2 linked regions of the Styela clava genome follow. The protein of the gene in region 1 interacts with the protein of each later gene in a biochemical or structural test. Links are inferred from orthologs where the notes say so. Each region holds a gene or a part of one and is shown in the gene's direction. Other genes may lie near its edges.

The links.
Region 2: of the proteins of serine/threonine-protein kinase VRK1-like (region 1) and barrier-to-autointegration factor B-like, one has a biochemical effect on the other in vitro, tested with the Caenorhabditis elegans proteins (2 studies listed by BioGRID). The link is inferred for Styela clava from reciprocal best matches to the Caenorhabditis elegans genes vrk-1 and baf-1.

The regions. Positions count from the first base shown.
Region 1 is NC_135253.1:16,539,005-16,550,705, reverse strand, and holds the start of serine/threonine-protein kinase VRK1-like, read left to right. Parts: upstream 1-7,051; 5' UTR 7,052-7,142; coding exon 7,143-7,296; intron 7,297-7,683; coding exon 7,684-7,739; intron 7,740-8,082; coding exon 8,083-8,152; intron 8,153-8,360; coding exon 8,361-8,557; intron 8,558-8,930; coding exon 8,931-9,023; intron 9,024-9,103; coding exon 9,104-9,236; intron 9,237-9,728; coding exon 9,729-9,911; intron 9,912-10,764; coding exon 10,765-10,961; intron 10,962-11,061; coding exon 11,062-11,603; intron 11,604-11,682; coding exon 11,683-11,701. Other genes in the region: uncharacterized protein LOC120327175, read right to left, coding at 1,651-1,793, 2,219-2,357, 2,475-2,540; endoribonuclease LACTB2-like, read left to right, coding at 5,639-6,511. UniProt on the Caenorhabditis elegans protein: Serine/threonine kinase that phosphorylates baf-1, thus regulating the association of baf-1 with chromatin and nuclear membrane proteins during nuclear envelope formation. May act through the egl-17 signaling pathway.
Region 2 is NC_135251.1:13,960,466-13,970,704, forward strand, and holds barrier-to-autointegration factor B-like, read left to right. Parts: upstream 1-5,815; 5' UTR 5,816-5,896; coding exon 5,897-6,022; intron 6,023-6,427; coding exon 6,428-6,574; 3' UTR 6,575-7,984; downstream 7,985-10,239. Other genes in the region: zinc finger MYM-type protein 1-like, read right to left, coding at 9,047-10,239. UniProt on the Caenorhabditis elegans protein: DNA-binding protein which plays an essential role in nuclear envelope formation. Required for normal chromosome segregation during mitosis. Associates with the nuclear lamina via its interaction with LEM domain containing proteins emr-1 and lem-2.

The DNA.
Region 1 (11,701 bases):
TAGACCAGAAAATATAGTCTATGTCAGACTTCCTGCATATCTCCTTGCATATCCATGGTGAGAGCCTTATCGGAGCAAAGGCATATCGACGCATGAAATCCAAATTGGGCTAAGTCCATTTTTCTAGTTTTGAGAAAAACGCAAAAAACGTTTTTTTTTTTTATTTCTTTTTTTTATTTCTCTAATACCTTACATCGATGATGTCTAGTTTTTATGGTCGACCAAAGTTACAATGAAGGCCATATTCAGATGGTATAAAAAAAATTGTGCTCCGCCCCAATTTTTTTTGGCGGGTTTTTTTTTGGACTTAACCCTTTTTGGCTGTCAATTTTCTGGACCAGAAACAATTTTATTGGACCTAGGGCCCCTTTGTTATGTTATTATAGAGGCTGGTATGGACTTAGCGCTTTGTATTATATTTTTTGAGAAGAGCTATGTCCAAAAAACGGACTTAGCCCCAACTTACAATGCAGTTATCCAGAGCTAAGTCCACTATAGTAGACACAGCTCTGTTTAGTTCTCAAATGCCCTAAAAAAAGCAGGGTTATGTCCATAGCTGTCTTGAGATCTAGAGCACCTAGAGATAAGGCAAATAGACCCAAATGTAGAGCTAAGTCCAGGAAAATCAGCAATTGAAAAATGTCATTTTTTGGAAAAGTGTACTTAGCACTGTTTGGTTTTGAGGTGTCGATATGTTCAAACTCACCAAGGTTGGAATGGTATTAACTCTTCCAATTTCTAATGATGATAATCATAGTCAAGATTTCTGACAGAAATTCAACCAAAAAGTTGACTAAGCTTTCGAAAGACAATTTAAAAACGCTAGCATACACCAAAGTCTTTAGGGCAGGGGTCGGGAACCTTTTTGGTCAAGAGAGCCATAAAATATACATATTTTCAATTGCATTTCCGTGCAAGCCATATAACATTTCTTCACTTAATCAGGCCTGAAATGTTTACTCAAAAGTCAACACATACAATGTCAATATACATTTATTGTGATTTCTGATGCTGCATGTAGTCGCTGCGGGCCTTGAACGGTTGCTCACATGCAGCCCAAGTTGAAATCTACAATACTCATCACCCTTTTTCGTTTAGGCATCTCCGTAGTGTTTTTAAAACTATATCGCTTTGTGATGTCACAATATATGTTCCAGACTCCCCTTGTTTGTCACAATGCCTGTCTGGTGATTATCTTACATAACATAGACATGTGCTGGGCGCGCGTTCTCAAACGTATTGGGAATTTCCTGCCAAAATTGGCTATAAAGGTGTTTGAAATCTCGTAACAATAGTAGCCTAAGCTTAGTCTTAGAATATTAGATTTTTCTGGGAGCCATATGCCGTCACCAAAAGAGCCATATATGGCTCGCGAGCCATGGGTTCCCGACCCCTGCTTTAGGGTCTACTGCCTGCATGCTACCGTCAATATGCACATTTAGCCCAGTAGTACATAAAGTTTGCCAACCACTGGTCTTAATGTTGTTTTGGGGGCTTTAGAGCTCGAGTCAGAGTTAGAATTCCCATTTCCATGAGCCAAGTAGGAGTCATTTTCTTTAATCAGGAATCTATAAATTTTGCTATACTTCACAGTCCTGCAGAGAACAACCATCAACATTGTTTCAACTAGAATATATTGTTAGAACTTACAACAGCCTTATGGCATTCATCTTGCAATATTTCCATCTTTGTTTTATTCTGTTGTTTGGTTGTTGATAGTTTGTTTGCTTCTTGGCTAATATTCTCATCTAATGATTCTGATGCAGCTTGAAGAAGTTGAAAATATGCTTCACCTGAAAGAGGTATAATTAAAATTTTATTTTATTATTATTCAATAATATTCTAAAACTGTGGAATTTAGCACCCAGATTTAAAGATAGCAATTCGAAAAGAATTTGATCTGCCATTTTTATCAATGGTTTTTTATCTGCCAATGGACAATTTACTGACATGAATGAAGCAATATACCTAATTGAAATAGATATTATTAATCATTCCGAAACATAGTTATTTGAAAGAATAAATAACAAATAAATTCAATGCGAGATAAAAATTAATAGAGATAGATTGTTGACCAGCCTTGAAAAAATGAGATTCACTTTCACCTGAAAACTCAACTTAAAACTTAGTAATACTATATAATTGTATCTTCCTGATGGGATTAGTTTGAAAAAATGATAGCTGACAACCAGTGTTGCAAACAAAGATGATTGAATACCTTTTTTCAGTGCTTGAAATGCCCTTTGTAGTAGGAGATTCCTTTCTGGTGGTGCTAAATCATTAAATGAACTGACTCCCATTTCATGCATTTGATGATGAACAAGATCATATAACTTCATCATATAGGTTTGCCATTCCTGTCAATGAAGAGTGTAAACAAGATTGAGAAAATATAGTTTCCAAGATATTGTAAAAGTGGTTTGAGTAGTTTAATCACAATTGAAGCGAGAAAACTTGATTCGGCGCATACTGACCTGAGTTTGTTTCAAAGACTTTTTAGATTTCTGGACCCAGTTTGGAAGTCCCGAATATTTGTCCATAGTGCAAATCTCAATCTGATCCAAATTATTCAATAAATCCTGAACTGAGCCATATAAACTGTTGAAAAGAAAAACAAGATAGGATGAACCTTAAAGATGCAACATAAAGTGGATCAGTTCACAAGTGAATCTCAGAGAAAGATTTTAATAAAATGAGAAGGCCGCAACAAGCGAAAGCAAATGGCATTAAATCGCTTTCACTATGTTGGCATAACAACCTCAAAATCTGACATCTTTCTAAAATAGTAGTTCTGTACATACAGGTAGTTGTGACTTGTAGAGCTTTAATTTAAGTGAAAACGTATCATAAAAAAAATTATGTTTTTCAACTTTTTAAGAATGTCTTGGTTGAAACAATGAATATAACATAAAAAATGCTGCGAATATGAACTTGCTTTCCAACAGCTCCACTTGAAGAAGTTTCAATGTCAATGAAAGTGTAGTTAATTGCTCGCTCCAACTGTTTTAAGTATTCTATGTTGAACCTTTTTTCCAACAGAACTTGATCTAGTATAACTTCGTATTTGAATGAGTTGTGACATTGTCTATCAAAGTTGAAACAAATAAACCAATTGTAAAAAAGTTTGAAAGAAATTTAAACAGTAAATACTGATTCATAAAACATTTCTGATCTTTATCACAGATGTTGTAAATATATCATAAAAAATACTAGCTTGCCACATTCTGTTTAAATACATTGAAAAATTGAAATGAAGTTAAAATGCAAACAGAAAATTGAAACTTTGTAAACATTCATGATTTACAGACATTACAGGATTCTTAAGTCTTACAATCCAAAGCAAATAAAACTTGATGGGCAAGAACAAATATTGATTATAGACATTTAATGTTCCAAAAACTTGTAATTTTTTTTTATATGAAGAAGTTAATAATTAAATAGAAGAAAATAGCATGATCTATCTATATAAATATTTTCTTGAAATTGGAAAATATATTTTTTGGCGTTCGATTGATAAAACAAGATACAACAAACATTACCAACAAATAATAAGCAAAGCTAGCTGGATATATCAATAAATCAACTGAATATATTCATATATATATAACAGCATATAAAGAAAAGCAAGCTTGGGCAAAACATTTTAATCGGACTGATCAAAACAAAATTTCATCATTGAAAACAAAGAAGAAGAATCCAATGAAATGTAAATACTACTATTTTTGCAAAGATCAGAATCGTTTCATTTTCGCTATTGCCTACCTTCTTCATTCCACATTGTGTGGGGACCTGGCTTAAAGCAAGGTCTTCAATCCACGATACCATCAATTTTGGTGTACTACCTACTACACAAATACTGAGATGAAGGAACAGTAGATAGTTACAATCATATGCCTATTGTTCACATAAAAAAATCTACAATTATGATGTCAAATATGACTAGCTTCAACACTATTATTTATTGTCTATTTTGGACTTTTAATATGTCAAACTATGTATTAGCTACATCAACTTCATTCATAAGAGCGCTGGACAAGCAAAAAAAGAAATGAATTTGACGGGAATAAGTAAAGGCAACCCTGCCATTATACCTCATCTATTGTATACCTAACCTCATTACAGTTATTACGGCACAGTAAATGAATACATGATATTGTGTACAAATTTTACTCATATTGCACCATTGGATACATAAACAACATGCAAGGCAGTGAGGGGATTTCCATTAAACAATAACACAGAATACGTCACCAAGGCGACCGACTGCTTAAAGCAGACAGAACCACGTGACAAATACGTAGCAATTGCCAAAACTTTTGTCATTTTTTTCAAAAGTATAATCGAAACTAGTCGTTGAGATGATACAGTAATATGAATGAAATAGCGGATGGAAGTTTTTATAGTAGCCTTTATATAACATATTTATTTTACCCTTTAATGTTAGTAGTACCACCCTCTTGTTTTTAAATTAATTTTTTCGTTAATATTCCATTAAGTTACCGATATTCATTTATGTACCCCTGGTTTCAAATGATCGGTGATAAACGAGCTATGCGTCACTGGTTTTCGGCGCCAAATGGTGCAAATCCGTCTGTATCAGCGATACAAAGCACAGAAGCAAGGAGCTGTCGACTCGGCACCTAGTTACATTTTTTTTAAAACTGTCATAAATCGTCTGTATGAGTCTGTTTACATTATATCCGTGCAGTCGTCAACTGAAGCCACAGCCGCAAAGGGGTCAAGTTATTTTAACTCATTCTTATGGCCTATACCGGTACGGTACCAGTACCGGGTATTTTAGTATTTTACCCATCTATAATTTTGTAATTTGCTAGAGGCCGGACAGATTTACATATCTATAATTTTGTAATTTGCTAGCGGTCGGACAGGCCGCGGTAAATTCAACGTTCTCAAAAAACAGTGACATGTTCACTTGTAACAAATTCCGAAAAAGAGGATGGTGTGAAATGTCGTTCAGTTCATTTCCTTACTGCCTCACAGCCTCATGGTTATGTTTTATAAGACAGTACCGGTACTGCAATATGAGCTTGATTCAAGCAAGGTCTTAGACCTTTGCTTATAGTGGAAATATTCAGATATTACTGATAGAAAAAAATATAAGCTCAAAAGTACTTTATATCTGTATATACATTATACTGATATATGACTCGGTTTATTGTTTAAACAGAAATGCCAGTCTGCCAATAGAATAACCAGTTTTCTGTTTTTATTTTGTTAGTGTATATCTAAGGGATTAGGGCACCATAAGGTTATATTAATCCGCCTCCTGACCTCTTGTCTCTTATATATTGATCCAAGTTTTTAAATTTATACACAAGCAGCTAACATATATGTTACAATTTTTAAAAAAGATTTTAAATTTGGGAATCAGTTGAATATTTTGAAATTTTATATGATTTCCACACGAAACTGCAAAGCCCAAGTGTTATTATATTTTATATGACCTTAAATATTACAACCAATACATTGAATACAATACAGCAATATGTAGATATGGATGATTAATTACCAATTTACCATATTTCTGTTATCGGGTAATTCTTCTTTTTCATTTAAGGTATACAAATATTACTGTATATGGTAAAACAGAATCATACTGTATAAAAGATAATAAAAAATGTCTTCAGTCATACCTAAGATTGAGCAACTGTCAAGCAGAGTAATTCGTGTTCTGGGATGCAATCCGTCTCCAATGACTTTACAGGGCACAAACACTTACATTGTTGGCACTGGCAGAAAACGTATTTTAATCGATACTGGTAATCCAAGTGTGCCTGATTACATTTCAAATTTGAAGTCTACTTTGAAAAAATTTAACGTCAGTATTGAAGGAATTGTTCTTACTCATTATCATATGGATCATATCGGGGGTATAGCTGACATTGAAAGGGATGTTATTTCTAGTGGACAAAATGTTCCGCTATATAAATTCGGGCGAGGTATTGATGGCTGGGAAAGTGAAACACCTCCAAACACTGATTCTAAATATTCTTTTGTTGAAAATGCTTCAACAATAAATACAGAAGGTGCAACATTGAAAGTATACCATACACCTGGCCATACAGATGACCATATTATACTTCAGTTAATTGAGGAAAATAATGTGTTTTCTGGTGATTGTGTGCTCGGTGAAGGCACTGCTGTTTTTGAAGATCTTTATGACTACATGAAGTCTCTCGATTTCATTTTGAGTCTTAAACCTGGAAAAATATACCCCGGTCATGGCCCAGTTCTTGAGAATCCAATAGAATATGTTCAATATTACATCAGCCACAGGAATGAAAGGGAAAGCCAAATAATATCAGCTCTGAAAGATTCGTCTGGGCCCCTCAAAAGCCTTGACATTGTGAAAATTATATACGATATACCAGAACATCTTTATGGCCCAGCTGATATCAATGTTAACAATCATCTGAGGAAACTGCTGAAAGAAAACAAAGTTGGCCTAAAGGAGGGTGACTTCTGGCACAACTGTCAAGCTTCTCTTTAACTATTATTGAATTCTTTTAATTTAATTAAAATATCAGTGTTATGTTTTTGACTTGTCATTCTTAATTGCGATTGTGAACTTAATAAGTGGGTACCGAGGTCACAAAAACTCATCAAAAAATGTATGATACTCATCTGAAATAACCATTATAAATCCTAGACAGTTTTGTGCCGAAGTATTGGCAGGTGTAATTCAAATTATTTGTGTTGATTTTATGAGTAACATAATTTTATACTTGAATCTACTTATTTTACTATATTTTTATGATAGTTTTGTAGAGCACAACGCCTTGACATACACCGTCCATAGCTATTGGAGAAATAAATAAATGAGAATTAGTATTCAATATATATGAAAATTAAAGATTGTTTTTATTTTATCATATTAGTGCAATTTTCTGCCACCATTATGTTCGTAAATTACAAGTGATTAGATATATAAACAGCCCAACGTTGTCTTACATTGTGCAATATTTCACTTGTGTGTGACAATGTGGGAATTTTCTTTAATTATCTGACAAAACTTTTTGTGTTAACAATTGTTATTTATATTTAAATTAGTTAACTTCAATAATACTTACTAATGTATGCTATATAAGAAAGGAATAAATAATAATCGATAGAATACCACCATGCCTGCAAAAGGTAAAGGCCGTGGTAAAGCTGCAACAAACTACCAACTTGCAACAACAATAGCAAAAGGAACTGAATTAAAAGATTTGAGAAAAAAGTTATGGTATCTTGGAGAACCAATTGGTTCTGGAGGATTTGGACTCATTTACTTAGGTAATAATATCATTATAATCTATACGTGGAAAAAAATGGCGAAATGTTAGTATTGATGAAAAAAATAATATTATTTGTCAAACGTTATTCGAAATGATGTAATTTTCTCTTTTTTACATGCTCTGTTCGAAAATTGAGTAAATTACATGAAAAAGCTTAATTAATTTCGCATTTGTTACAGTGTAAAGGCCCTGCTGTTTGAAAATAATTAAGTTTTTTAAACAACAGAAAAGTTTCTTGTAATATTTGTTTCTATGTGATTTGAATTAAATTAGGAAGTTTCCATCTGTTGATTACAATATGTCCAAATATTTAATTTAAGCAATTGAATTTGTTATTTCATATTGACATACAAGTACTAATTGATTGATGTTTTCTTTTATACAGCTGATGAAGACAAAAAATGTATCGGAAAAGATAAAGCAAACTATGTGATAAAAGTGGTATGTGGAATTTTACCTTACTTAAATTTGATTAATAAACCTAAGTATTGCCAAAAGCGTCCCTTCTGGTATCATGATAACCTAATTTGCCATGGAATGGAGTGAACCACGCTGATTTGGGTAAAGTGCTCAAACTCATCTAATACACAGCTTTCGGGTGATAGTTTTGAAGGAAAAGTATGCTTTGTGTGATTCAGCGAATTCAAGTTTCATTTATTGCAAAATTATAAATATAAATTATTGGCGGTTTTTATTGGTACCTAATCATTATCAACTGTTCAATATTTAATATTCCTTACTGTTTTGAGGGTTAGTTTTATATGTGTGTATCTCAATTTTCCAGGAACCTCACGGCAATGGTCCTTTGTATTGTGAGGTAGCATTTTATCAGAGAGCTGCTAGGCAAGAGTCCTGTAAGTATCCGTAATACATGGTGTCCATAAAGTCTTTTCACAATTTATCTTGCAATAAATTTTAAATTGCAGAGAGACTTTGGGGGCATGTGTCGTTTTGAAGGGGTTAATTTGTATTTAAAATTTGTGTTAATTGTGTGTTTTGAAAAAAATTATATTTAAGTGAATATCATCTCTGTCTGCTTCTGATCCTATTTACGTTCAACAGTGACTACTTGGAAAAACAAAGCACGCCTATCGTACGTAGGAATCCCAGCTTATGTTGCCCACGGATTACATGCAAATGGAAAGGAGAATCTAAGGTTTATGGTAATGCCAAGATATGGATGTGATCTACACAATCTTTGGCTTAAAGCTGATAAAAAGTTTTCTCGTGTTACTGTCTGTCAACTTGCTATTGAACTGGTTCGTAAGATGAATTCTTTCTGATGCATTGAGTGAATAGTTCGTACTTTTCTTTTACTTGTTTTGCATGCCTGATATCACAGCTATTGAATATTTTAGGTGGCACAGTTTTTTTTAATGGAAATTAACCTTCAAAAGCATGATTTTCAACTGAACGTGTTGAAATTACTAAATTGCCTAAGCCCTTACAGCTTCAATGTTATAAATAAGATAAATTAATTTAAACATTACACAAAGAAATTAATTAGCCAGGAATTACCAATGTGGTTCCCCGTATGAAAAACATTTGACATTTGAATACTGAACTGGATGCTGTAGCCTTTTTTGATGATCTTTAACAATAGAATTATTTATTTGTCTTTATATCTCACAGCTGAATTCGTTGCAATATATGCATGAAAATGAATATGTACACGCAGATGTGAAAGGTGCAAATATTTTAGTTGGGCATAAAGATCAAAATCAGGTTTGGGATGGTTTAATATTTCTTCTCTATATTGGCAATCACCATAACCAGCTAATTTGTTAATTATTGTTCCATTTCAGATATATTTAGTAGATTTTGGTCTTGCTTTTCGATATATTGTTGATGGAAAACACAAACCATATTTGGAAGATCCTAGAAAAGCTCATGATGGAACCATTGAATATACAAGCAGAGATGCACACAGAGGTGTTGGTAAGAGAGGCAGTATCAATATCTTTATGTTTATATATATATATAATTCTTTTACTCGTGGAAGTGATTTCAAATTTTATAAGCATTCTTCTATATTGAATGAGGACTGTGGAAACAGATTTGATATTGGAGTCAACAGCTGATACATATTTCCAAACTCTTCCAAGTCAGGAGAGTTTAAATTTATATTTCTTCGGTGTCAAAATCGGATGTGACTTTCAGACTTTTTTTGGAGATAATTGAAGTCAAATTTCAAACAGGAAGTTTCACAGCAGTTAATAAAAGGCTTGTGAATGCCAGGGTTTTTGAACTGAAAATTGAATTTGATTGAGTCAAAATTTAGTAGAACGTGCGGTCTGGAGACAGAGTAAAATTTTCTTGTCATCCCGGTGCCAGGGTCGTCAAGTGTACATTTTCCCAGATTTCAAAGCATGCATCTGAGAATGATTAGAGATGGTAAATGATATAAGACAAACTGTGTTATCGTTTCAGCTCCCTCAAGACGATCAGATCTAGAAATACTTGGATATGTTTTACTGCACTGGGTGTCTGGAAAATTACCTTGGGAAGATAATCTAACCAACAAGAACTACGTGAGAGATGAAAAAATAAAACATATGGATAATGTAAAACAATTTGTTTTATCAGTCTATCCAGAGGCAAAATCAAAGAAAGGTATGTCCAATTGCAATGACTTTTTAATAAAGTTTCTCAAATTAACATTTGTTCACCTGATATTAGAATTTAGTGAAAGAAAATTATAACTTTACCATTACAGCTTTTGTGATGTACCTTCATTTAGAAAATTTGAAAACAGCAATCAGATATTGTCGGCATCTATCAATATCAGCCTTAGTGAGGCAAATAACAAATGATCTATTATGCCAATTGCCAAATATATTCTAAACTGACTCATACCCATTGGGCATATTCAATGAGTTTGGATTTGAAAATGCATGGAAGTAAGATCAGATTGGTCTTCCATTTTCACAGTTTTCATAACTTGAATGAAGGCCTTTTTGTTCACACTCTGAAACTTTATTTGCTCAAAAATCAAAATGATAAACTTCTGAAACTATTCTGAATATTCCTTCCTAGACTCAGGAATTTAGAACAGTGGTTCCCAAACTGGCCAATTAGGGCTCGCGTAACGATTTAATATGGCCCTCCAAACTTGAGTGTCATAGTTTAACACTTTGTTTTCTAGATACCACCAATTGTTACATCATTATAACAGTTTAAGCATGAGCATATTCGTAACGATTCAGTTCAGTATCTCAATTATAGGTACAGGCACTGGTATCGACCCCCTGCGTGCACTCTCCTCTCCTGGCCCGCAAATATCCTTCAGCTTCTAATTTTGGCCTGCGGTTTATCAACTTTGGGAACCACGGATTTAGAATAATAAATCTAATTATCAATTCGTATGGACATGATGATCATATAATAAAATACTTTTGATTTCATTGCATTTCATTATTTTTTTCATGCTATCTAGTAATTATATATATATGACCATTTCTAACAGCTGTTGAAATCGAAAAGTTTCTTCAATACGTTTCAAAGATGGATTATGAAGATGAACCAGATTATTCTGTGTTGAAAAAATACTTTCAAGATGCCCTTAAATCAATGGGAGTTTCACTCAAAGCAAAAATAACTTTTGAAAATGATGAGACGCCAACACCAGCCAAAAAGAAGCGAACAACACAATCACGAGCAAAGGTAAGATAATTAATAAGAATTGAAAACATGATGGTGTTGATTTTTTCCTTTTTGAAATGCATGGACTTACGACAAAAAATATTAATCTCAAATCTGTTAGAGCTCACAGTCGGAAGAAGATGATTTACCCAACAAACGTCCTAAACGTACGCCAGCCAAGAGAAAACAATACACTACGAGCTCATCAGAGGACGATGCAATGAACATAAATTCATCCACTCCTAGCGAACCATCTCCGAAAGTTGCACCTAAGTCCAGAAAGCTGACTAAAACTTCTACCTCGGCAAGGAAACGTCCACAAAAAGTAACTAAAAAGACTGTTTTATCAAGTTCTTCTGATGAAAATGTTGTTATTAATGATGACTCTTCTGCAGATGAGGAAGCAGACAGCGCAGAAGTTTCACCCCCAAAAAAGACAATTAAGAGGAATTCAAAAAAACAATTAAAAAAACAGACACAAAAAATAATCAAACATGACGAAAATGATTTCACAACTACGCCTTCAGAGAACTCGGATGAAGATGTAAAGGTTGTTGATTCAACTTTTGACACTACCAGCCCAAGACGTAGTCCAAGAATAAGCAAAAATCCTAAAAATTCATTGATCAAATCTCCAACGAAAATTGCAAGCAGTTCTAAGAGGTATGTAAAACTAAAATAAAAATTAATTTGATGCATTACGTAGTGATTGTTTTTACATTAAAAATCTATTGTTTTTCAGTTCCTCAATCGCTAAATCT
Region 2 (10,239 bases), on another chromosome or scaffold:
ATTTGGACATATTTTGTGTAATATCCATTTTTTTTCCGGTCATTCTAAATAATTATTACCGATTAGATATTCTGTCAAGTGTCAATATTACCATTGTAAGTTTAATGATATATACCATTTTTATAATACAGTAATAGGCCCTATGACAATGGACTGGAAAATTCACCTGCTTCAATTCTTTCACGCAATCATACACTGTGTCATTTCAAGCATCTCAGTGTTTCAATGCGGACAATGCCCAAAACAGGTGTTTTTGTTTTATAGTTTGATAGTAGCTCCTTGCATATCTGTGCCATAAAATATTGCACAATAGCTAGATATATCGGTTGAATAATTACCTAGTACAACATCATGTGGTTAATACCGTATTTTCCGACGAGTAAGTCGCTTTTCTAGACCCAAATTTTGGGGGGGGGGGGGTTCGTCTTATTAGGCGAGTATGATCATTTTCATTTTTTTGTCGCCTTATTATTGAATCCGGACAATGAAACACCTTCGGCGATAGCATCCCCCACGTCCTCCTCTGGTTAGTTTAAATAAATCGACATTCTCGTGCTGTGAATCTGGAATTTCAATGCTGTGATTATCATATTTGCATTATCATATATGGATTGAATATTACGCTACAAGAAAAAGTCATTATAGGCTATTTTAACCAATGCGCAAACGCGGCGACTGCTCGAAAGGCATTGCATGGTAATTTAAGATTCCCGACGTTGATGCGATTTTACTACCCCGACTTATTAACCGGTTATATGCAAAAACCCATTTTTTCAGGCTTAAAAACAGGCCTCGTCTTATTCGCCGGGTAGACTTATTCGCCGGAAAATACGGTAATTAATATTAATGAAAAATTTATATTCTGGTAATTAGTATAGGCCATTCGTTCACGTTTATCATCTGAAAGACAATCATGTACTATACATTGGGTAACACTAACTTGATTTTCAGAGATCAAGCCATGCTTCAATCCAGTCCATGGAAAAATTGTTGGGACAGGCGGTAGAAACTCTTATGCTACAAGCTACGGCATCTGCAATTTTCCACTGAATATAGTGTGGACTCGGACATACCGGAATTGATGAAATTCATTGTCTGATTACATTTTGATCCAGAATACATTCAAGGATGAAAAAATGGCTCGTAAGTTGAATATTTTTATAGGCTGATTACGGACACTTTACGGCGGTGGTTCCCAAACTTTTTTTTCCGCGACCCCAATTTTTGTAAAATCACAGACTACAGATACTTGCGACCCCACAACGAAAAAACATTAAAAATCAATTTATTCTATTCTGAATATTCTATTTAATCATTCTGATGAAAATCGACTGTAAGTTTGCAGGGCGTTGGTGTAACGTGGTTGTACTTAACTGTTTAGTTCAGTGGTTCCCAACCTTTTTACCCCAGCGGGCAAGCAAAATTAATTTAAAAGAGTTCGCTGACCGGTAACACATGCCATCGTATGAAGACCACGATGTAAAAATCTCTGAGATTCAGAATATTTGTTTAGTTTTAGTACAATGTTAAAATATTGCAGATTACTCCATAATTAATTCGAAAGCTAAACAGAACATGAAAGTAAAATAGGTGAAAATACCTTTGCTGGGTCTCATCTTATTGAGTGCCTTTTTATTTTTTGTCGTTTTGTTTTTGACTGCATGAAGCGCTTCGAAATTATGTATGAAATACAATATGCCCCATATTTTCGCTTCGTGTTCAAGGAAGATTATTTAAATGTCTAAATACGATCCGATTGCATTATTAAAATTGTTCACTTTTATACGAACGCGATGTGGACAAAACACATATGTGTATATTTTCGAGTAGATACTCGCGGTAATTAACATAGAGCTTTTGCAACGGATGGAAACCTTTTCATTAAATGTATTCTCATAATTGTGCTTATTTACTCATTCCAGATAGGATATTTGTCAAGTCTCGGAGGTTGCTCCAAGAAAGACTGGATTGGAGAATCATGAGCTCAATTATAACAAATTTACTCGCCCGCTCTTTCAACTGTGCAGGATGCGGTGGATAAGAAGGAGTGAGTGGGACGCCCTTAGTTTCTGCTATTAAAGGTATGTAATATGTTCATCATATTGTTCCACCATCTTTCTCTGCTCTACCCTCTTCCATTTTAAAAGTATAAGATTATTTTGACTCCAAATCAGCTTAAGATAATTCATAAGGGAAATGAACAAAAATTGATTAAATAGAATCTGACAATCTGGAGTGAAAACAAAACCTTAATTAAGATTAAAGCGTAAAGAATATAAGGTTTTGCCAAAAAGATGCCTATCGTTTCCATGAATTAAATTAAGTTACACACACACAACAACAACAGAGATATAATAAAATAAAAACAGGCGAGAAAATTTAGATAAGTTGGGTATATTAAACTAATAAACGGACTAGTAAACAAAATGTACTTGCCAGTTGCCACACCATTCATTTTTATCATTATGATTGTTAAATTGAATATGGATTTTGTAAACAACTGTGAACAGTAAAGAAATTGAATGTAGATTTTGTATACAAAAGTGAACAATATAGAAAAATATTTATTAAGGAGATATCGCCAAGCTGATTATGATTAGAGTCAAGTGCCAAATTGCCAATCCAATGTTGCCAGAGTTTGGTGCATAATGGCGAACAGTGGTTTTGGAACTTATTTGTATCATCGCAACAGCAAATGATGAAGTTACAACTAAATTTATTGTAAATCAATTAAACAAATAGACTAATCATGGTGCATGATGTTTCTAATAAGATAGATGAATTTCAACAAGGAATATTTCAAGACATTTTAGTCAGATAAAATCGCAAATCATCATTATTCCCTCCAACAAATATTCCCCTCAAAACGTTGTCTACGCCCCCCTTGCGGAATCAAGAATTTCTGTATTTCTCAATTATTATCGTCTTGTCAATGTAAGCTTCACTCACACATTTGCGACTGCAGAATCTTGGCTTAAGATTCCTACTCTGAAAATTTGTTGGGATGCAGTCATTCAGACTAGGCTTTGAACTCTGGTGCTGTAATTTGCTAATACTGCAATTTAACACAGAATTTTTATATTTTTCAGCTCTGGATGATCCGGCAACGAACTCCGATTAATTTTATTACATGTATACATATTTGTAAAATAAAGACATTTTGCTATCTTTTGTATTTTAATTATTTAAATAATGTTAGATTAGTGGGAAATTTCTATGTATAGATCCATACCCTGTCTGTACAACACATCGCCTAACTCGGCCCGACCATATGCCACGATTGTATTACAACGTGTCGCCTACGTAGGCCCGGCCAAATTTCACGATTGTGTTACAACGTATCGCCTACGTTGGCCCGACCGTTTGCCACGGTTGCATTACAGCGAAAGGACCGACGTTGGCCCAGCGGCCAAATCTTCGCTGGAACATGGTTGTTCGCCATTATTGGGCCGGTGGTTCGAACAACGTTCGGCCATGGTTGTTCCGACGTAGTTGTGCTATCTGGGGTGTTGTTTGTATTACTGCACCTCTGGAAGAAATCGCTAGAAAGCTATAACATTTTTAATTCTCCTTTGGTGCTATGAGACACGATACTTTACGTTTACATAGAAGCTGCTCTTCTTATATTTAAATAAAAAAGCACTTTTTCATTTCGTATTGCTCGATCACTTCCGTAAGCTAATGATTTTCACTAATCTTTTATTCCAACTCGGTGCTCTCAGACCTACCATTTTGTTTCAAAATGATGAATTTTTCAATTACTGCAACCAAACTAAAACTACTCGGAGAAAAATGACTATTGAGATATTTGATGGTTCCATTATCTTTGCACACATGTACATTTGCACCCTTGAACTGCACCCAGAACAGTTGTACCTACATACAGATTGCACCCATGAACATTTGCACACAAGTAAATTTGCACCACGCACATTCGCACTCACGCACATTTACAATCGCAGACATTGCAACCGCAAGCATTGGCAATCACGTACAATTGCAGCCACGGGCATTTGTACCGACGGATATTCGCACCCATGAATATTACACCACACTAGACTGGACACTAGTCTTTGAAGTAAAAAAAGCTTCATTGTGGTGAAAATGTACATGGGTGCAAATGTATACGAGTGCAAATTTACGTGGGTGCAAATGTATTTGAGTGCAAATTTCTGTGGATGCAAATGTACATTGTTGCAAATTTACATGGGTGCAAATGTCTGTGGCTGCAAATGTACGTGAGTGAAAATGTACATGAGTGCAAATGTACTTGTATGCAAGTATCCACAGGTGCAAATGTCTGTGGGTGCAAATGTAAGCGTGAGCAATCTATTTGTGGGTGCTAAATTCTGTGGGTGGAAATGTAAGAGTGCAAATGTGGGTGTCAAGTCAAGTTTATTTTTTCCAACCAGTTAAAAATATAACAATCAAAAATTACGACAGAAATAATACACAATTCCAAATGTCCTGGGTGCAGTTTACAAGTGCAAATGTGCTCTCGCCGTATATTTCGTGTTTAAAAACGATCCATGGACCATAATAGGTAAGTTCGTGTCAAACGAGGAAACCGCAAAAACATCAATTTTTAGTATTTATATACTCCATTGGAGGGCGATCGAATGACTGAAAGGGAAAGATTGCCGCGCCAAACTTTTACTTTGTTTAGCGCAGAAGTGGCCAAACTGTAAATTGTGAAATAAAAACGGTACTGATATTATTTTTTCATCATTTATTTATTTTTACAAAACTGTTATGAATCCACAACGTGGACCTTTAAAAAAAAAAAAAAAAAAAAAACGGTACTGAAATGAGTTTTGCGAAGAGATATTTAAGGTCCTAACTTATTACAGTAGTAAAACATAACATTGGTGTAAATCAGCTTTTTGTGTGTTTAGGTGGGGAACGTGCTGTTCAGTCGAACAAACTGGAAAATTGCAGCATTACGGTACAGGTACCCGCACGGTACTAGTCTGGCAGTGTTGTTTTTCTGTATTGTTTATTCAATTTGTGTTATGGTGGTGTAGACAAAAAATGTAATAACAGAATAAAGTTGTATTGTATACCGGTACCGGTACCAGGCTGATGGCTGACTGGTATCGAATTTCGCCATCCCTCAATACAGTAATATGACTTTGCAGTACCGTATGCTACCAACCTTTCTCGAATAAGTATGCAAGTTGCATTGAATACTTCTATTAGTATGGACTTTTCGGTGATTTCATGAATAGCCCCAAATGAAAAGACATCAATTAGCCTATATCGTCGAGGGCAGATCCTCCTGTAACGTTACCAGTGTACGAGACAGTCTGGGCCTTCATATTGCATGATATTGGCAAACCAGCACTGTGCAATAAACTAAAAAGAATCGCAATCTAATAACGTCACCATACTGCTATTGAATTCTTCTGAAAAAATTTATCCAATTTACAGAAAGAAAAAAATTATTTACTGTAGCATTTGAGTGATTAATCCTTATCGTGGCAAATTTATTTTTAGGTTCATAATGTAAGGGAATTTTTAGACTGTCTAAATTTACTCTGTAAAAATTGTTGGGTGAGTGATTTTCATAGCACCTAAAACGAAGTTGATCGCAAACTGGATAAATCGCCTTGTATTGGAATTATCAGTAATATTCTTGAACTGGTTTTTGCATTTTGAAATAAGTTATCTTTCTCCAGTAGTGATATTTTAAATGAAATGAATAATTATCTCAAAAATTTTACAATAGTGTATTTGGGAAATTATTTATATTTTTGTTTTTTGCAGAATTATGGAGACATTGCTGACTTTATTTTGATTCTATTCAAGAGTCTATAACTCACATTATTTTCATATTTCAGTCAACGTTCCATCAATTAATTATTGACCCTAAGCTAGGCAGGGGTATTGAAACACGATGAGTTCAACTTCTCAAAAGCACAGAAATTTTGTTGGTGAGCCCATGGGTGACAAATGTGTTACAGATGTAGCTGGAATTGGTAAAGTATATGGTCAAAAACTTTGTGACAAAGGTTTTGATAAAGTAAGTGTTGTTAAATAACTTGCTGTGCCTCTATTACTGTTTTTGCTTGTTATCCATAAACAAGGTACATTTTTGGCCCCCCTGGTAAATATGAGTTATTTTCTTGAACTCTTATTATTATAGTACATATTTTTGAAAACAGTTTTTATATAAAATATTAGTAATCAAAGTGTTTATATTCTCTAAATGCTTGTTTGAAAAGTTCGAACTTCCTGGCTTTCCAGTGTTTCCTCCCCAAATACTTGGCATATAATAATGATCTTTTAATATTTTTTCGAAAGTTATTTTCATATTTGGATATATTTTGTCTTGTTGTCATAAAGAGGTAAATTTCTGTTTTATTATCAGGATTGTGACTTGATCTTTTTCATTCCATTTTAAAATGATTTACACTTTTTAATACAGGCATATGTACTTCTTGGACAGTTTTTGTTGCTCAAGAAAGATGAAGAAATGTTCAGAGATTGGTTGCTAACTGAAATTAAAATGAGAGATAGAGATGCTATTAATTGTGCATCATGTTTGAAGGAATGGTCTGATGCATTTCTGTGAACACTATCAACTAACTGCTTTTATTTAACTCATGGTTTGCTAGGCATAATTCAAATAGGCTATTGAAAAAAAAAAAGAATTTATTCAAAAGAGTTTGAACAAATTAACATTCACAACAATTAATTTACTGGTATTCCATTTGTTATCTGACAAACATATTGGTGATTGTCTTCAATTAGGATTACATGCGAAAGTATTTTTCAACTACCGGTATGTGGTTTTCTACTGGTGGATCTCTTAGATACGAGGATTTACTAGTAGAAGTGGTTCAAGAATTGACCGAGGGAATACCGGTATAAAAATATTAAGCGAGATAGTTTCATGTCATGTTGATATTTCTAGCAATCCTCTCATCATGATATCTGCCATAAGTGCCATATTTGAATCATACTTTCTGGGTTACAATTTTTTTTTCTGTTCTATGTATGTATGTAATATCCTATTTTTTGATCATTGTTGCATCTTCCGCATTCAAATTCATCAAAGGCATAATTTGGAAGAAAATCAGAAGACATGCAAATAAAGTATAAATATTTGAACCCCCCCTTCCATGACTAAAAGTTAGCAGGGCATTTTTTTTATGCAATTGGCGAGTGTGCCAAAAAACCTCAAAACTTGTTGATATTCTCTTTACTTGTCACTAGGTCAACCATATCCCATTAAATAAGTGTATCAATTTGATTAAACTGAAATCGAACTCACTTACACAAAGTAATTTTCAAAATAAATTAACCAGGTAAAATTGCAATTTCACATTGCTTTATATTATTACATCAATATGATTGTCTTTACTCTCTTGTTATGTTGTTGGTATTGAATGATAAATTTTTTTCGATTGTGTTTGGGACCCTGTAGTCAATGATCAGAAATTTTCTTTACATATTTTAAGAGCTCAATTTTTAAATGCAATTCTGCTTTACTTCAGCTGCTGTTTACTACACTTTCTATATGTAAAAAATATTACCGTACTTCAAAATTTTCTTCGGCCTATATATTTTATTGAAATGTCTATTTTTGAATGAGAATAATGCTGTTATTTGTAGTTGTTAAAGTGTGATGCTTGTCTTTCATTACACTATTTCATCGTCACTATTTTTGAAAAGTGTAACCATGTCTAAGCTATCTATAGCCCTAAATCATCTCCTTGGTTATAAATATTAAAACTAAGAAAAAGCATGAACTGGGAGCATGTTGGGGGAATGTCCATGTTTTTCTCTCTCTAGTTTTCCGCTGGCTCAATATTGAGGCTAAAATCGCACTGATTACAGTTTTAAATTACCGTTTCTTATTTATATAAGTGTACTACAGATACAGGCATCTCTTTTTGAACGAAGTTTTTTCTTGTTGATTTTGTTTACTCGTCGATTATTTCTGCATGTTGAATTAATAATTGATTTGTTTGAAAATGCATTTTTCACCTGTTCATATAAAGAAGTTTTGGGATGACTGGACTATTGTCTTTAATCCAGTGTTTCCCAATCTTTTTTTGGTCGCCGACTATTTTCTCACCAGGGAAAATCATTGCGGACTCATTGTGCGTTAATTGTAAACCCGACTTGTGTGTGAAGAAGCAACAAAATCAAAAACAATTTATAATCCACATTTACAAATTCCGATGGGAACCATAGCGAGGGTGCTCTATCATTGAGACATCGAGAACTGCTCGCTCTGACAAACTCGGAAGATATTATGCGATCGTTGGGGAAAATAATAGGAAAGAATTTGCGGCTAAAATTTTCTAATAAATTTATTCTGATTATTCTCTGTCGTATCGGCTTTGATCGCCTTCGTAAATATAAAAAATAATATATTTATGGCTGGCTCGTCGATTCGCTGTCTTTTTTCCGTTTGTATTTTTCTACCCAGTCTATGTTGTTTTTGCCTCAAAACAAAACCTCTAAAATGTTGTTACTACGTATCCGTTGAAATCTGATAGAATTTTTAATTGTATTTCATATTCACCTAATGGTATTTCATATTCAAATTAGCATATTTGTATTAGTGATTCGAATTTTATCAAATTACCAACTAAAAGATGTGAAACTCATGCGACATTGGCGCACAATACGATCATTTGAAATTGGAGCAATGGAAATACAGGAAACAAATATTAAAAAAAAAATAAAAAAAACATACCAATCAATTTTAGCGTAAGCGAAAGGTACGTGCAAAGTTGTGTTTTTGCCAGAAATCCGCAAGTGCGTTGTGCAATCCAATCGTTTGATTCGGCACGTTCAGTGGCGTAGCCAGCCCAAAATTTTGGGGGGGGCCAAATTTGAAAATTTTAGAAATTATATTGGGTTTAAAACACCCGTTCTTCAAGCGCAAAACAACAACAGTTGGTCAACAAGCAAACTGATTCAATTACTCAGCTGGATTTTTGTGAATACAAAATCCATTAATAAACAATTTTTTATTTGAAACAACAAATATTAACAACGCAATTTAAATAAGTAAAATACATCGCCCCGATTAAAAGTACATCCTTCGCTTCCCGCTAACTATGCTCGACACAACTCGATTAATTTTCTCCTCGGTGACCATTTCACGGTGACAGTGAAGCACACACAAATCAGAAAGGCGATTGGACGTCATTGATGAGCGCAGCCATGTCTTTACCCGTTTCATCCAGGAGAAAGACCGCTCAGCCTCAACGGTGGTTGCTGGTAGCGTCATAACGATCTGTATTGCGGTGTACACGCTTGGATAATCTCGAGCGCTCAAAAGAAGCCCCTCCAAACATTTGTCGTTAACGTCGGAACTTAAAGAAGTTCTCCACAGTCTCACTTCATTCTGGAGGTTATCCAATAAATACAGATGCTCTACCTCATCCACGTGAACTGGTTTGTTCGGTGGAAGAATTGATAGCAATGAAAAAAATGATGGGTTTTCAATGAAGCGTTCCCGAATAGAGCAGCTCAAGCCGTCGACGTATGGGAGATATACGGAACGTTTAAAATAGTGGGATGCTGAATCAGCACAGACATTGTCGCGATACACTTGTACTTCGACTACTCTGGGTATTGTCAACTCTTTCAAGCCAGCTATTTCACAAGCTTCTTTGTAAATATTCAATGCGATTTCAGAGTCATTGCGTTCTTCAGCGATAACGCTCTGAAGAGAGGATGTGAGGTTCTTTACTGACGGCACACTGACTCCGACCGCCTGAAGTGCGCGCGCTAGTGGCTCCATTAGTGCCGAATATCGACCAATCAAACATACGGCGTAGATAACCGACGACTTTTCTAGAGCAGATTTCAGAGAAAAAGCCTTCGCCCGCGTCTCACTGTTAGCATCTCTCGCCAAAGAATCAAGAGCCTCAAGTACTCGTTTGAAGTTGCATTTGAAGATTCGGATGCTCTTGTACTTCTCAGACCATCTGGTGGGGCAGAACAAAGGGATGTTAATTCCTAAACCCGCGCGCCTTTTAGGGCTCTCCCTGAAAAAACGAATAGTCTCACGAATGATATCACAGGTGCTTCTGATGATTGCAACTTTACTTTGGTCATTTATGACCAAATTCAAACAATGAGAAGCGCAGTGCACAAATATTGCGCGCGGGTATTTATCACGAATGCGTTTTTGCACACCGCTGACGTGACCTGCCATTGTCGTTGCACCATCATAGCCTTGCCCCACAAGTTTTTGCAAATCCACTCCTATAC